Xenopus tropicalis: one gene and its partner. The protein of the gene in region 1 purifies or fractionates together with the protein of each later gene. This does not show direct contact. Links are inferred from orthologs where the notes say so. Each region holds a gene or a part of one and is shown on either strand. Other genes may lie near its edges.

Region 1 (7,889 bases):
ATATGGGGGTATGTTCACATTCGGGCCCCTACATGCCACATACTTGGGTAAACCTATACATATTGGGCATCAAACTGTTCAGTGGACCCCTGGTGTTCAAATTCAGGGTGTTTTATCTTGGTACCTAATGCTATGTGGGAGATAAGATGCTGCAAAGTGGAAGCTTTGAGGGGATTTTTGGAAATGTCATCAAAATTGCTAACTTTAGAAAAGCTGTGCGGCTTGGTACTTTGGAGTAGAAAGACATGGGTACCCATTTTAGATTCGGGGGAATGTGTACTTTCCAAAAATATATGACTTTCTGGGGTGAGCGTACTTTTTTGTAGCTTTATCCCACATATAATGATGTAAATGTGTTGATTTTGCAGGAGCTGAAATGACAGAAATGACAGTATATATGGGGGTATGTTCACATTGGGGCCCCTACATGCCACATACTTAGGTAAACCTATACATATTGGGCATCAAACTGTTCAGTGGACCCCTGGCGTTCAAATTCAGGGTGTTTTATCTTGGTACCTAATGCTATGTGGGAGATAAGATGCTTCAAAATGGAAGCTTTGAGGGGATTTTTGGAAATGTCATCAAAATTGCTAACTTTAGAAAAGCTGTGCGGCTTGGTACTTTGGAGTAGAAAGACATGGGTACCCATTTTAGATTCGGGGGAATGTGTACTTTCCAAAAATATATGGCTTTCTGGGGTGAGCGTACTTTTTTGTAGCTTTATCTCACATATAATGATGTAAATGTGTTGATTTTGCAGGAGCTGAAATGACAGAAATGACAGTATATATGGGGGTATGTTCACCATCGGGCCCCTACATGCCACATACTTGGGTAAACCTATACATATTGGGCATCAAACTGTTCAGTGGATCCCTGGTGTTCAAATTCAGGGTGTTTTATCTTGGTACCTAATGCTATGTGGGAGATAAGATGCTTCAAAGTGGAAGCTTTGAGGGGATTTTTGGAAATGTCATCAAAATTGCTAACTTTAGAAAAGCTGTGCGGCTTGGTACTTTGGAGTAGAAAGACATGGGTACCCATTTTAGATTCGGGGGAATGTGTACTTTCCAAAAATATATGACTTTCTGGGGTGAGCGTACTTTTTTGTAGCTTTATCCCACATATAATAATGTAAATGTGTTGATTTTGCAGGAGCTGAAATGACAGAAATGACAGTTCATATGGGGGTATGTTCACATTGGGGCCCCTACATGCCACATACTTAGGTAAACCTATACATATTGGGCATCAAACTGTTTAGTGGACCCCTGGCGTTCAAATTCAGGGTGTTTTATCTTGGTACCTAATGCTATGTGGGAGATAAGATGCTTCAAAGTGGAAGCTTTGAGGGGATTTTTGGAAATGTCATCAAAATTGCTAACTTTAGAAAAGCTGTGCGGCTTGGTACTTTGGAGTAGAAAGACATAGGTACCCATTTTAGATTCGGGGGAATGTGTACTTTCCAAAAATATATGACTTTCTGGGGTGAGCATACTTTTTACTAGCTTTATCCCACATATAATGATGTAAATGTGTTGATTTTGCAGAAGCTGAAATGACAGAAATGACAGTATATATGGGGGTATGTTCACATTCGGGCCCCTACATGCCACATACTTGGGTAAACCTATACATATTGGGCATCAAACTGTTCAGTGGACCCCTGGTGTTCAAATTCAGGGTGTTTTATCTTGGTACCTAATGCTATGTGGGAGATAAGATGCTTCAAATTGGAAGCTTTGAGGGGATTTTTGGAAATGTCATCAAAATTGCTAACTTTAGAAAAGCTGTGCGGCTTGGTACTTTGGAGTAGAAAGACATGGGTACCCATTTTAGATTCGGGGGAATGTGTACTTTCCAAAAATATATGACTTTCTGGGGTGAGCGTACTTTTTTGTAGCTTTATCCCACATATAATAATGTAAATGTGTTGATTTTGCAGGAGCTGAAATGACAGAAATGACAGTTCATATGGGGGTATGTTCACATTGGGGCCCCTACATGCCACATACTTAGGTAAACCTATACATATTGGGCATCAAACTGTTCAGTGGACCCCTGGCGTTCAAATTCAGGGTGTTTTATCTTGGTACCTAATGCTATGTGGGAGATAAGATGCTTCAAAGTGGAAGCTTTGAGGGGATTTTTGGAAATGTCATCAAAATTGCTAACTTTAGAAAAGCTGTGCGGCTTGGTACTTTGGAGTAGAAAGACATGGGTACCCATTTTAGATTCGGGGGAATGTGTACTTTCCAAAAATATATGACTTTCTGGGGTGAGCGTACTTTTTACTAGCTTCATCCCACATATAATGATGTAAATGTGTTGATTTTGCAGAAGCTGAAATGACAGAAATGACAGTTCATATGGGGTATGTTCACATTGGGGCCCCTACATGCCACATACTTAGGTAAACCTATACATATTGGGCATCAAACTGTTCAGTGGACCCCAGGCATTCATATTTAGGGTGTTTTATTTGGTTACTTTATGACCTGTAGGAGATAAGATACTATAGACTAGAAGCTTTGAAGCGATTTTTAAAAAAAATCACAAATTTTGATAAAAACCAATAACTTTAGGAAAGCATTGCGACTTGATAGTTTGGAGTAGACAGACAGTTGTGCCTATTCTGTATTCCCCAGAATCTGTTCTTTCCAAAAATGTACAATTTTCTGGGATAAACCTTCTGTTAGTGGAATTTTGGCCTTGAAATCCAAAGTATGCAGTTTTTTTGGAGCAGTGCTTTGGGAATTTGGTAGTGTACTGCTGGGAGTTTTTGACCTATACAAGTGAGAAATCTCCATAAAACTATATATATTTGGTATTGGCACGTTCAGGAGACATGGGACTTTCCAAATCAGTTGTATATTCGTGCATAAAATAATTTTTGTTTCTAGTATGTGTGATTATATTATGGAAAATTTGATTTAGAAGCCTATATCTTGTTACAGAATTGGAATTACACAAAAATTCTACCATATTTTGAAAGCTTAGGTTGTTCTGAAAAAAACGATATATTGTTTTCCTTGGTAAACTAAAAGTCCCCCCGAGGAAAGGCCCCTAAAGTGAAACAGTGCAAAATGTTCAAAAACTGTCTGGCAATACAAGTTCCGCTTTGACCAAAATGGCTGGCAGTAAAAGGGTTAATATGGGCAAAAAAATCAGGACATGCTATTGTTATTGTTAACCTACTAGCCAGGTGTGTGTAAATCACACCAGATTATTCAAACTGTGATTAAAACAATTTTGGCCCACACCTCTCCCATGTATGGAGCTTGTAACACTTCACCCATAGCACCCATAGCTATCAATAAACTGGAATGTGTAACACCTAGCTCTTTCATTTGCTTTTGCGAAATGTATTAAAGGAGACATATTGGATAAATGGGGAAAAACGCTTATTTTGTAGGCAATTATGAATAATATACAGTGCTGGTTTCACTTTGTGCTAAAAATTAATCCTCTCTGTAAAAATGGCCCCTTTATTGGAGCTCCATATAGATCCTATCACTTCTCCATCCAGTTTGAAATGAAGAGTGGGCGTGTCCTAACGGTCCCTGCCAGAAGCACAGTAGGAGGGGGAGAGCCAATCACAGCCCTGCACTCACACAAGCAAAGACAGGCTTCAGTTCCCTATCAGGTCAGCCTAGCTGCTGATTGGTTCCTATCCTACAGTACAGTGCAGGGTACGGAGGGCTGCCGGCTCCCCAGCTCATCCAGAGAATTCAGCCAGCAGGAAGTGGAACAGATGGGCGGGACTAGTGGTGTTTTTGTGGAATTTCTCAATAAATCAGTCAGAAACACAACTTTTTAAAGCACAATCCTTCTGTATCTAGAGGAGTATAATTCACTGGTACATTCATAATTTTTATAGGATATGTCTCCTTTAAGCATGGGTCTGTTCACAGCAAGGACACTGTATTGCTTATTGTTTAATGATATTGTGTGCAGTCTTTTTAACCTACTTCTGCTGGGAAGCTGCAAAAGGGGAGCTGCTGCTGCTGATCTCTTTAATACAAAGTGCATTGGAATTGCTTTACTGAGTAGCATTTTATCAGGTTGGAGGAAGGTTCGCTGTTAGGTAAATGTAATGTGATGTATGTCAGCAGCCTCTTTTGTGCAGCTTCTTAGAGAAGTAAAAATATATATGAAGTATATGGAAAAAAAGTGCAAGCTAAATCATGAAGCAGTAGGCAGTTCATTGTCATAGGTGTGATACATGATACTGCCCATTGGGAAAAGGTGGATTGTTTGTCAGTTTTAATACACAAACAAATGCCCCATGTGAATCCATCATTGCCCGAGGGACACTATATTTTCTCTACCTGTCCTACATGGGTGAGGGCGAAACAGAGCGTTAGAGGAAACCGTGTCACAGCACATGCAATATATGTGTTCCATCATGTTACATGCCAACTCACATGTGTTGCACAGTGATTCAGAATGAATGCATCTAAGGATGTAAATACACAGAATCTTTAGCAACATAAAACTATGTTTTAAATCCTGCATTTAAAGCAAAATGCTATTGTTATAAAAGTAGGTCATTATGTGATGACTTTATCCCTTTAACACAGCAAAGCAGCAGATAATCAAAACCACAGCAAACCATCTTGACTTAAAGTGCACCAAACATCACAAAAATGATTTACTAAGTAAAGACACTATGTTAAAGTTCAAGAAATCCGATTTTCAAAACAGAACTGTTTGTATAATGTAAAGCATCAGTTCACTATACCTTCTGCAAAAACTCCCCTATCTTCACTGCAGTCCTATCTGTGGCAGACATCTTGGAATCTTATGTATAGCTTTACTTCAGCTCTCAAATCTCGCACATGCTCAGTTGAAGTTACTTTGTTGCATAGCAACCCTTCTAAACAACGTTGCTATCAGCCGAGCTTCTGTTAGGGGCTGCAGCTGATCAGTAGAGCCGCCTACTTCCTGAACGTGTCAGGTATTCTGCACTACTGCTTATCTCTTTCCTTCAACTTCAGTTCTCAAATCTCGCACATGCTCAGTTGAAGTTACTTCGTTGCCCAGCAGCCAGTCTGTTAGCTGCTGCAGCTATTCAGTAAAGCTGCCTCCTCACTGGACAGGTCAGGTAAACTGCACTACTGCGTATATCTCTGCTTGAACGTAAGCACTCAAATCTCGCACATGCTCAGTTGAAGTTACTTCGTTGCCTAGCAACCCTTCTAAGCAATTTTCAAATCAGCTGAGTTTCTCTGTTAAAGGGGGCATATACCATATTTTTTTACAATGCACAATGTAAAATAGAATTGCTTTTATTTTAATATCTTTAGGTTCAAATATGTCCATAACTGCTTGAAAACTGTGCTCTACCCAGACCTTTTGCAAGCTTCCGGTTTAGGGCAGGGGTACACGGGAGAGATTAGTCACACCGTGACAAATCTCCGTTGTCGTGGGCGACTAATCTCCCCGCAATTCCATCTGGCGCCGCTATTTGCTGAAGTTGCCTTCAGGCGACTTAGGCAAATTGCAGCGTAGCGTATGCCATTCCATCAGCTATTTACTTTTTCTAGCCGTTGGGATGGCATTGCGGGGAGATTAGTCGCCTGCGACAACGAAGATTTGTCGTACAGTAACTAATCTCCCTGTGTGGTGCTGCCCTTAGACTCTTCAGTATATGGCTGTGCTGGCCCTAATAGACTTCAGTAACAGAGCAGCAGCTACATAAAGTGCAGTGAGGTGGGTGGGCTTTGCAATGTCACAGGCAGTCCGTTCCCATACCTCCCAACATTTGAAAAATGAAAAGAGGGACAAAAAGATTTGGCGCGCGCAGCGCGGCAATTTTTTGACCACGCCCCCTTTTGTGGTCACGCCCCAATTACCACACCCCATTTTAAAAAAAATACCCCTTTTATATAGATCAAATGGCGGGAGCAGACGAAAATGTGCTATACCCTCATACTGAACGACCTAAGGAAAACAATACAGCAACTCCTACATTAAAATACAAATATAGAGAGAAGGCAGTCAGTTATAAGTGAGTTATAGCTAAGTACCAGTTTTTCCCCCCATACACAGTAGCCCCCCATACACAGTAGCCCGCCCCATACACAGTATCCCCCCATACACAGTAGCCCCCCCATACACAGTAGCCCCCCCATACACAGTAGCCCCCCATACACAGTAGCCCCCCCATACACAGTAGCCCCCCATACACAGTAGCCCCCCCATACACAGTAGCCCCCCCATACACAGTAGCCCCCCATACACAGTAGCCCCCCCATACACAGTAGCCCCCCATACACAGTAGCCCGCCCCATACACAGTAGCCCGCCCCATACACAGTAGCCCCCCCCATACACAGTAGCCAGCCCCATACACAGTAGCCCCCCATACACAGTAGCCCCCCCATACACAGTAGCCCTCCCCATACACAGTAGCCCCCCCCATACACAGTAGCCCGCCCCATACACAGTAGCCCCCATACACAGTAGCCCCCCCCTACACAGTACCCCCATACACAGTACCATCCAATACACAGTAGCCCCCAATACACAGTAGTCTCCCATACACAGTACCCCCCATACACAGTGCCCCCTATACACAGTAGCCCCCAATACACAGTGCCCCTATACACAGTGCCCCTATACACAGTAGCCCCCCAATACACAGTGCCCCTATACACAGTAGCCCCCCAATACACAGTGCCCCTATACACAGTAGCCCCCCAATACACAGTGCCCCAATACACAGTAGCCCCCTATCACAGTAGCCCCCAATACACAGTGTCCCCCTATCACAGTAGCCCCCTATACACAGTGTCCCCCTATCACAGTACCTCCCATAGGCGCTCCGCCTTTGTCTGCGGCTTCTTTATGCCTCTCCTTGCGCTGCGCGACAGGCCCTTTTATAAGGTTGCGCCCCGTGCGTAATGACGTCACACCCACAGGCGCAACCTTATAAAAGGGACTGTCGCGCTGCACAAGGAGAGGCATAAAGAAGCCGCAGACAAAGCGTGAACATCCGGTACAGCAAGGGCATCCCGCTGTGCCGGATAGTTCCATGAATGTCCCGCAATGCGGGACATTCATGGAACTATCCGGGACAGCGGGACGCGCCATAAAAAGCGGGACTGTCCCGCGAAAAGCGGGACAGTTGGGGGGTATGCGTTCCTGCTGTACTCGCTCCGCACCCCCGGCGGCAGCACAAGCGGAGAGACATGGAAGAAGGAAACTGGGAGGGGTTTTCCCTGCTACTGTTGAGTAAAGCCTGTCAGTCAGTGCTGTGACCACTTCCTGTGGGAGACTGAAGCGGCACTCCCATGTTTCATTTTGCTCTGGCTTCTGACTTGAGAGGTTGTCTATGCAGCTCTCATATAATGACAGTTTTAGGAGCTAAAATACTTTCCCAACATCTTTCTTTCTGTATCATTTCACATTTTGAGGGAGCATGAATATTATAACTGAATATGAACTTTATATAAAATGTCTCCTTTAAGGTTAAGAAAAACTCGACCCGCACCTGGCCATAGCCAGCCCACTCCAAACCCAAACTTTTCCCAGGTTGGGAGCGGGTGGGTAAGGACAGAGTGTGGGTCTATAAATATAGGACAGAAGCCAAGTGCTTGAACTGCGCCGCTATGATATCACAAAAGGGGCGGGTGCACCTATAAAGTCAGAAGACGAAGGCAGACAGTGTTAGGTAGTAGGCAGGGAGAGCTGAACCCGAACCTGCCCACGACCCACAAGTGATTTCCGAGGTCAGCCCAAATCTGCCTGACCCGTGGGTATCGGGCCAGCCCGCACATCACTAGTCACTATACATGTTTAGATTTTAAACTTCTTCCGATCAACTAAACAACTGATCACCAAGGTGTGAAAATGATAATTCTGTCCCAACACTCGGTCCAA
Region 2 (7,284 bases), on another chromosome or scaffold:
AGAAAATCCATTTTCCACAAAAAAAGTAAAAAGGCCACTGTTTAATCTATTTTGAACCTGACACACTTAGAACTTCCTATATGCTTACACCATCATGTCCGGGCTTTGCCCTCTTTTTTTTCTACTGGACTAATTCATTGGTTGCACTCTAACCAGTTACATAAGTTGAAAAGTCATTGGTTAATTTCTCTCTTGCAATGGCATAGGCAAACAGACTCAGCATTTAACAAATCTAACATGCTGTTGTGTAAGACTTGCAGCATTCTGCCACAGGCACAGGAAGCAGTGTCAGACTGACAGGAGACACATCCAATAAGAATCTGCTGCCAGTACTATGTGTGGCATCATATAAGGAAGTGAAATAGCAACTAGTGCAGAAGTGAAGGTACAGCAGTGGGATGATTCTGAGATGATATGTTTTCAGATGCACATTTTTATGTATATAGCAAAGATTATTCTATTCATGTGAACTGTTTCACATTTGTGAATGTTGTACAAAGGTAAACAACCCCTTTATAAGAACATAAAGGGGAATTATAACAAACAATAAATTATAGTGCAAACATCTTAGATGTAAAGTAAAAATGTTCAAATATAACGCATTAGATATTCCTCAGTTTTTAAGTTATCCATAAGTAGTTACTGCAGCCACCCCTACCCCACACTCAACATCCCCCATAAGCTGAATAATAAATAACACCAGCTATTCTCCAGCTGCTTTAAAAACTAGCTAGACATTAACACCTTGCAGTGATGTTGCTCCAGTACTGTAGATCTGGAGGCTCATTTAGTCATAGAAGTGCAACTTTGGGTGCTACAAACATGGCTTATTGTGCCCAGAAACTCTCCTTACAAAAAGCACCTGCTGATTAATTGTGCATATGTATAAATCACAAGTTCTAGAATTAACTTCTCCTTTAAATGGATTGTTTACTTTGAATTAAATTTTAGTATGATTTAGAGAATAATATTCAGAGACAATATGTAACTGGTCTGCAGCTTTCTCTCCAGTTTGAGATTCCAGCAACTATAGAGTGGCTAAGGTCCAAATTACCCTAGCAAACAGGCAGTTCTTTGAATTAGACACCGGAATATGAATAGAAGGTTTGTATAAAATGATAAGTAATAAAAAAATGACTGTGACAATAAAATTGTAGCCTAACAGCACTATAATTTATCAATATCAGTGACTGAAAGCTTGAAAGTCAAATAATTTATAAACTAGAAAAAAAAAAAAAAAAATTAAAGACCAATTGAAAACTTGCTAAAAACTGCCCATTCTATAACATACATTAAGTTAACTTGAAGGTGAACTACCCTTTTAAGAAGGTTCTTTTAGCTTGTTGCAGCTACTTATACAAGTGATTTGTGTGATAATGGCATTATGGACACAATTAGCTGAAAATGGCATTCAAAAATAAATTCAATAAGAAAAATGTTGCCAAATCAAACCAAACATTAATTGGCATATGCATTTATAAATCACTTGCATGTTGAATTGCATGCATATTGTGGGTACCTGCTATTACAATGGAATTTGTGGAAAATGTTTCAATCTTGGTAAACAATAGCAATTAGCATCTTTGTAGGACTGTATGTGTAGGGTTGTATTTGTCTTAAACACAGCAGAACATAGATTTAGAGGCATTTTAACCCAGTCAGTCCAAACAAAAGAATACACAGCTGAAAGTCTTTTAACTCCAACCCACACTATATAGGTGTAATGTACAAAGTAAGATATAAAAAGACAGATATATTGGATTTGTGTATAATACCTGTATCAGTACATTGTCAATGGCCATCTGTACTTCCAGAATAAGGCTGTAGCTGGCATCATCTTGGTTTAAGGTGAATTTGTCATTGATGCTGAAGACAGGCACAGCAGACACAGCAGTAACTGACTGGGAAGAATGCTGGTACCTGTCACGTTCCTGAAGGACCTTAAACTGCAACTGTTCCAGTTCAGACCTATACAGACAGAAGCAACTGTATCATTTACTTCATGGAGAAACTGGTATATGAATTTAACCTTTTTTGGGGTTATCTACTGCTATCTGCTGTTGGGTTATCTACTAATACATCTTGATTTTGTTTGCTGGTAATTAAATTTCAGTGCAACTGCGATCAATACAACCATAACATGGCTGTACTTGCTGTACTTGCATGGCATTTATAAAGAGATAATTCTAGGAATAAACACTTCAATTTTGCAGTTTGCCCCATTAGTAACAAGCATTAAATTTACTCAATACAACCCATATAATCAATATACTTCTTATTCACAGCATGATATTAAAAGCTGAGAATAGCAATTATATACAGCAAATTGCTGAGTAAATGCACCTTTAACAATTTCTTATAGTTCTCTGAAAATAATCATTAAACAGTCCTGGTAAATAAAAATATATATCAAAATATACTTATTAATAAACAACACAAGAGCAGCAGGACAGGGCCCTCCCTCATTTTATAAGGTAGTAAGTAGTGCAGCAGCCAAATATCAAACCACACAGGGAAATTAAAGAACATAAACGGAAATCTCAATCAAAGTCTCAAACTAAAGGCCTTATTAGATTCCCTCACAATAACTTTTTATTATTAGTTTTTTTATATTATATATATATATATATATTTATATATACACACACACACACAATTCTGTACAAAATAAGCCTGGTGGCAGATAGAATGAACCTAGCAGAAACATGTGCCCACTAAAAAAAAACCCAAAACATTACTTTACTACTCTTTGTAAATGGTAACCAGCTGTTCTATTGCACACTGCTGTGGTGATTAAAGATAGCTTTAAACTAATGGCAACAGCACATCAAGTGATTTCACCCCAAATCACCCTCTATTGCTTCCTTTTAAGGCTTGCAGGAAACCACAGGCACAGGTGCTTCTCAGAAAAATGCTCACCTTAAACTAACATTTTACAGGGAAAAAAACTACAAAAGGAATATAATGCTACAATTTCATACAAAACATAGTTGGAAGATAACTACCTTAATGAAGCAATTTTGTTTTGCATATCCTGGCTCATTTTTAACTCTTGCCCGGGACCAGCTTCTTTATGTATAGGCTCGGTGGTGAGTCCAGTCACCCATCCTACAAAAAACAGAATACCCAGTCAAGACTCCAAAAACCCAATATAACTGAAAGTTATATTTATGAAATAGAAATAAAGTTCAAGGCAGCTGTCAACAAGCCAATAAATGATATACTGATATACAAGTGAATAGTGTGCTGAGGCAATGAAACTAATGTACTAAAAGTACCCCACCCAATCACAAATTTGTAATACACAAGAAGCATGAAATGTGTTAGGCCAAATATGTGTATCTAGTGTTATTTTTGCTGTGGGCTACATTATTGGTTTGTTTTTATAGGAAGCAGCACATTAGCTCTCTTGGTAGCACTGGGGTCCTGAGTTCAATTTCAGCTTGGGCACTAAAAGAGGTTTGTATGTTCTCCCCATATCTGGTTGGGTTTCCTCCCACATTTCAAATACATATAGACAGGTTAATTTATGTAATAAACTGACTGATGTGAATGATGTATAATCTCTATAAAGCACTGTGTAAATGTGTCAATACTATATAAATACCAGGAAACAATGAAAATAAAATAATGTAACTTTTATTATTATTATTAATGGTGAAACAATGTTACCATTTAACAGTTGTAGCTATAAATTTTATTTCTACTTGGTAACAATATGACAATCTCTAATTGAAAAAAAAAAAAAAAAAAAAGAGCTAGCATGGAGTGAACATAAAAATGCTGCACTTATTGCCATACATGGACACATACATGTACATATTTATAATGACTCAGAAGGCATTCCTATGCCCTTCTATCATTAACCGGACAAGGAAACCCAATTAAATCAGCGGGCTGCTAATATGTTTGCACCCCCTATTGAATCAAATCACTAAGTTCTTATCCCAGGTTTGTGCTTTGCCAGGGAAAAAGCAGCCTAACATATATGCATCACCGTTGAATCAGGGTATTTTTTGTGCTTTAATGCCTCTGAAATACCTAAATGCTGCATGTCCAAGGAAAATTCTGTGAAGTGCTTACAGTCCACAGCTATTTGCTAAGTTAACAGAGGAGTTGTAAGTCAGCCTTACCAGAATATGTGGATAACACTATTTCATCATAGCCGTCCTTCCCAACACAGCCTCCTTGGATTGATGTTATGCTTTCTGTCAAAGACTAGGAAGACTTTCAATTACACAACTGCTTTAAAATGATCAAAACTGCTTCAGATAAAATTAAGAAAAGAAGCAAATTTGGAATTATTTTAGATTTATATAAAATATTTTTTATAGAGATGCTAACTTACATGGTCATATTGGAGGACAGGTTCATTGGCACTGTCATAGCCATACACTTCCACTGTGCCGTCGTCACGGCCTATAAGCATGTCCTTTACTCCATCTCCAATAATATCAAAGCTATCAATGCATAGGATGCCTAACAGACGAATATATCCAAATTAAAAAATATATATGAGAAATGTGCATTAGTTTAACTAAAGTTTACTGCTTGATTATCCCCAGTACTATATAATTAACAACATAAGAGTTCAATGGTTATTCAATATCTGCAAGTGATACAATCCCATTTATAAATGCCATCCTCTGAATCTTTATGTTCTCATTGGATCAATTCAGTGACACAGAGCGCCAGCAAGCTCCCTCATGCCAAATGGATGCCTGAACATTAAGGAGATGGTGCCTGCTAGCTCTGCTGTGCTTTTCTGCTTGTATAGGTCAGCATTACTATCAGACACTGTTCACTGACCCTGCGGGGAAGGAGCAGGAAGGGGGCTCATTAGATGGCAGTGTCTGGGGGAGGTTTAGTTTTTGTTGAAACTGTGGTGAAAAGTTCTCAGCAATGCTTAGCAGGTGTCTTCTGTCCTACTCAACCTGGAAAGGAAACATTTTCCAGGAGAGATTTATTTAGCAACTGCCTCCTGTGTCTAGAAATAATTGGTCTAAAGTATGTTTTTTTGCTGTTCAGCTACCATTATGTACATGCCTGGAATAAGTCTTACAATTGAAATAGCTATTTTTACATTTTTATTTTCTTGCTATGACCTATTAGGATATAATGACAATTGTTTAAAGGAATACTGTCATGTGAAAACAGTTTTTTTTCAAAACGCATCAGTTAATAGAGCTTTTCCAGCAGAATCCGGCACTGAAATCCGTTTTTCAAAAATGCAACCAGATTTTGCCCCTCCCCAACAGTCAATCAGCAGAACAATGGGAAGGTAGCAAGATAGCAGCTCCCAGTAGATATCAGAATAGCACTCAATAGTAAGAAATCCAAGTCTGGCTTGGGACTCCTCCAGTTACATGGGAGTAAGAGAAACAATCTGAAAGCATTTCTAATGTGTAGCGCTGGCTCCTTCTGAAAGCTCAGACTCAGGCACAATGCACTGAGATGGCTGCCTACACACCAATATTACAACTAAAAAAATACATTTGTTGGTTCTAGAATGTAACTTTAAATTGTAGAGTGAATTATTTGCTATGTAAACAGTGTAATTTAGAAATAAAAACTACTCCATAAAAATCATGACAGGATCCCTTTAACAACTGGAGACTGCAGGATGGATGGCTGGTGAATATACAAATTAGTTAAATCTAAAGTACATAAATTCAGTAAACTCACCTCCCCTCTTTTTCTCATTTGGAATTTCCCACTTGGGAATCGGAGTATTCATTGCAATATGAATTAATCCAATTTTACCATCCGATGTGCCGTATAAAAGTTCTTCCCCACTTTCACCTTAATACAAAAGAATAAGATTGCAGTTTTTTAACAATACATGAGCATTTTTTTTTACGTGCACGACAATTTTTTGTCTCACAGCAAATTTTGTTTCACAAGATAATCCACCGATGTTGAAACGTCAAAATTCAGCGCGAATCCATGCCTGGCGAATTATTTCGCCCATCACTAAACTTGGAAATGCATGAGCATGCACTTTAGCACCAAAATCCGCTCCGTGGGGCTTTTCTAATAAGCACTGGGCAAATCTGTACGTGGGCAGTAAACCGTAGCCACCAATCAGATGTTGTCATGAGTTACTGCTTAGGTGCAAATTTGCCCAGTGTTTATAAATGGCCCCCTGTTAAAGCAGATAAATCTGCTAGTGTAGACAGTGAAGTGGGCTGAGGCAAGTGGTTTGGCTGAGCATAAACAGTTACCTGTAACCATAGCCTTAGGGCTCTGGCACAAGGGGAGATTAGTCGCCCCCAAAACAAATCTCCCTGTTCGCACAATAAATACACAAAATTCTCACCCCCATTTCCATTGTTCAAAGCCAAAATAGACGGAGGTCCAGGAACGTCAACTTCATACATCAAACTTGAGCCCTAATTAACAAAAAAGGTAAATATATCTAAGTACAACCATCAAATATAATTGTTAGCTCTTTCAGACAGGATCCTTTTTACCTCTTGTATTGGTAGTTTTTTTCGTATATCTTTCTGTATTTTAATGTATACAACCATTTACCGTACAACTCAGAGGAATGTGTGGGAATGAGGGAGGAAGAGAACAACCAAAACAATTGCTGACATCAGCAGGAGACTCAAAGTTAGTGGCTGTGTTACTAAGCATCGCATTTCTTCAAGAGCCCCATTATGTTCAACTCTGAACATATCATATCCCTGTCTCTTTACTCAGCATGCCTACCCTGACTGAGAACATACTGTAGATCTGACAGTTGGGTAATTGAATAGAAAAGCATTGACACGGTTTCCTTTTTGACCAAACCATCTCATGCCTCTCCTTTAATCCTCCACCTATACATTGTAGGTTCTAGCAAACAGGACCTTGTTAACTTGTGCTCCAGTGTTAATAGTGCTCTAATGTTAAAACTGAGGTCAGATAAATAACATGGTTTTACACAAAATGGAAACAACCAGTAAATAGTGGCCACAATTAAAAAAAGACTTTGTAACAGGTCTACCATATGTATTACCATATAATTGCTGAGGAGGAGGAGGATATGGAAAAGTATTTGAAAATTTCAGAAACAGTACAGAACTTCTTAACGGAGTATATTTTTAACTTCATTCTAAGAAATGTGAGTGAACTTGGTTGCCTTTTTTTCCTCACCATGTTTTAGGTGGAAAGTTGTTTTTTTTTTTTTTTTTTTTAAATCTCATGAAGGAGTATTGTGAATTACAGATACATCTGGTAAAGACCTAATATAGTCTATAAACGTGTAAAGGCAATTATCAGCCACCTCCAACCAATCAA

What was found. Proteins that work in one complex are often made in the same cells at the same time.
Region 2: the proteins of lztfl1 (region 1) and bbs7 purify together in Homo sapiens (affinity purification with mass spectrometry; 3 studies listed by BioGRID and IntAct, counting the BioPlex papers as one, with this or other methods). This does not show direct contact. The link is inferred for Xenopus tropicalis from reciprocal best matches to the Homo sapiens genes LZTFL1 and BBS7.

The regions. Positions count from the first base shown.
Region 1 is NC_030682.2:64,756,597-64,764,485, forward strand, and holds the start of lztfl1 (leucine zipper transcription factor-like protein 1), read right to left. Parts: upstream 4,823-7,889; 5' UTR 4,799-4,822; coding exon 4,748-4,798; intron 1-4,747. UniProt on the Homo sapiens protein: Regulates ciliary localization of the BBSome complex. Together with the BBSome complex, controls SMO ciliary trafficking and contributes to the sonic hedgehog (SHH) pathway regulation. May play a role in neurite outgrowth. May have tumor suppressor function.
Region 2 is NC_030677.2:66,808,279-66,815,562, reverse strand, and holds part of bbs7 (Bardet-Biedl syndrome 7 protein), read right to left. Parts: intron 6,393-7,284; coding exon 6,320-6,392; intron 5,803-6,319; coding exon 5,686-5,802; intron 4,480-5,685; coding exon 4,349-4,479; intron 4,219-4,348; coding exon 4,134-4,218; intron 3,109-4,133; coding exon 3,006-3,108; intron 1,969-3,005; coding exon 1,776-1,968; intron 1-1,775.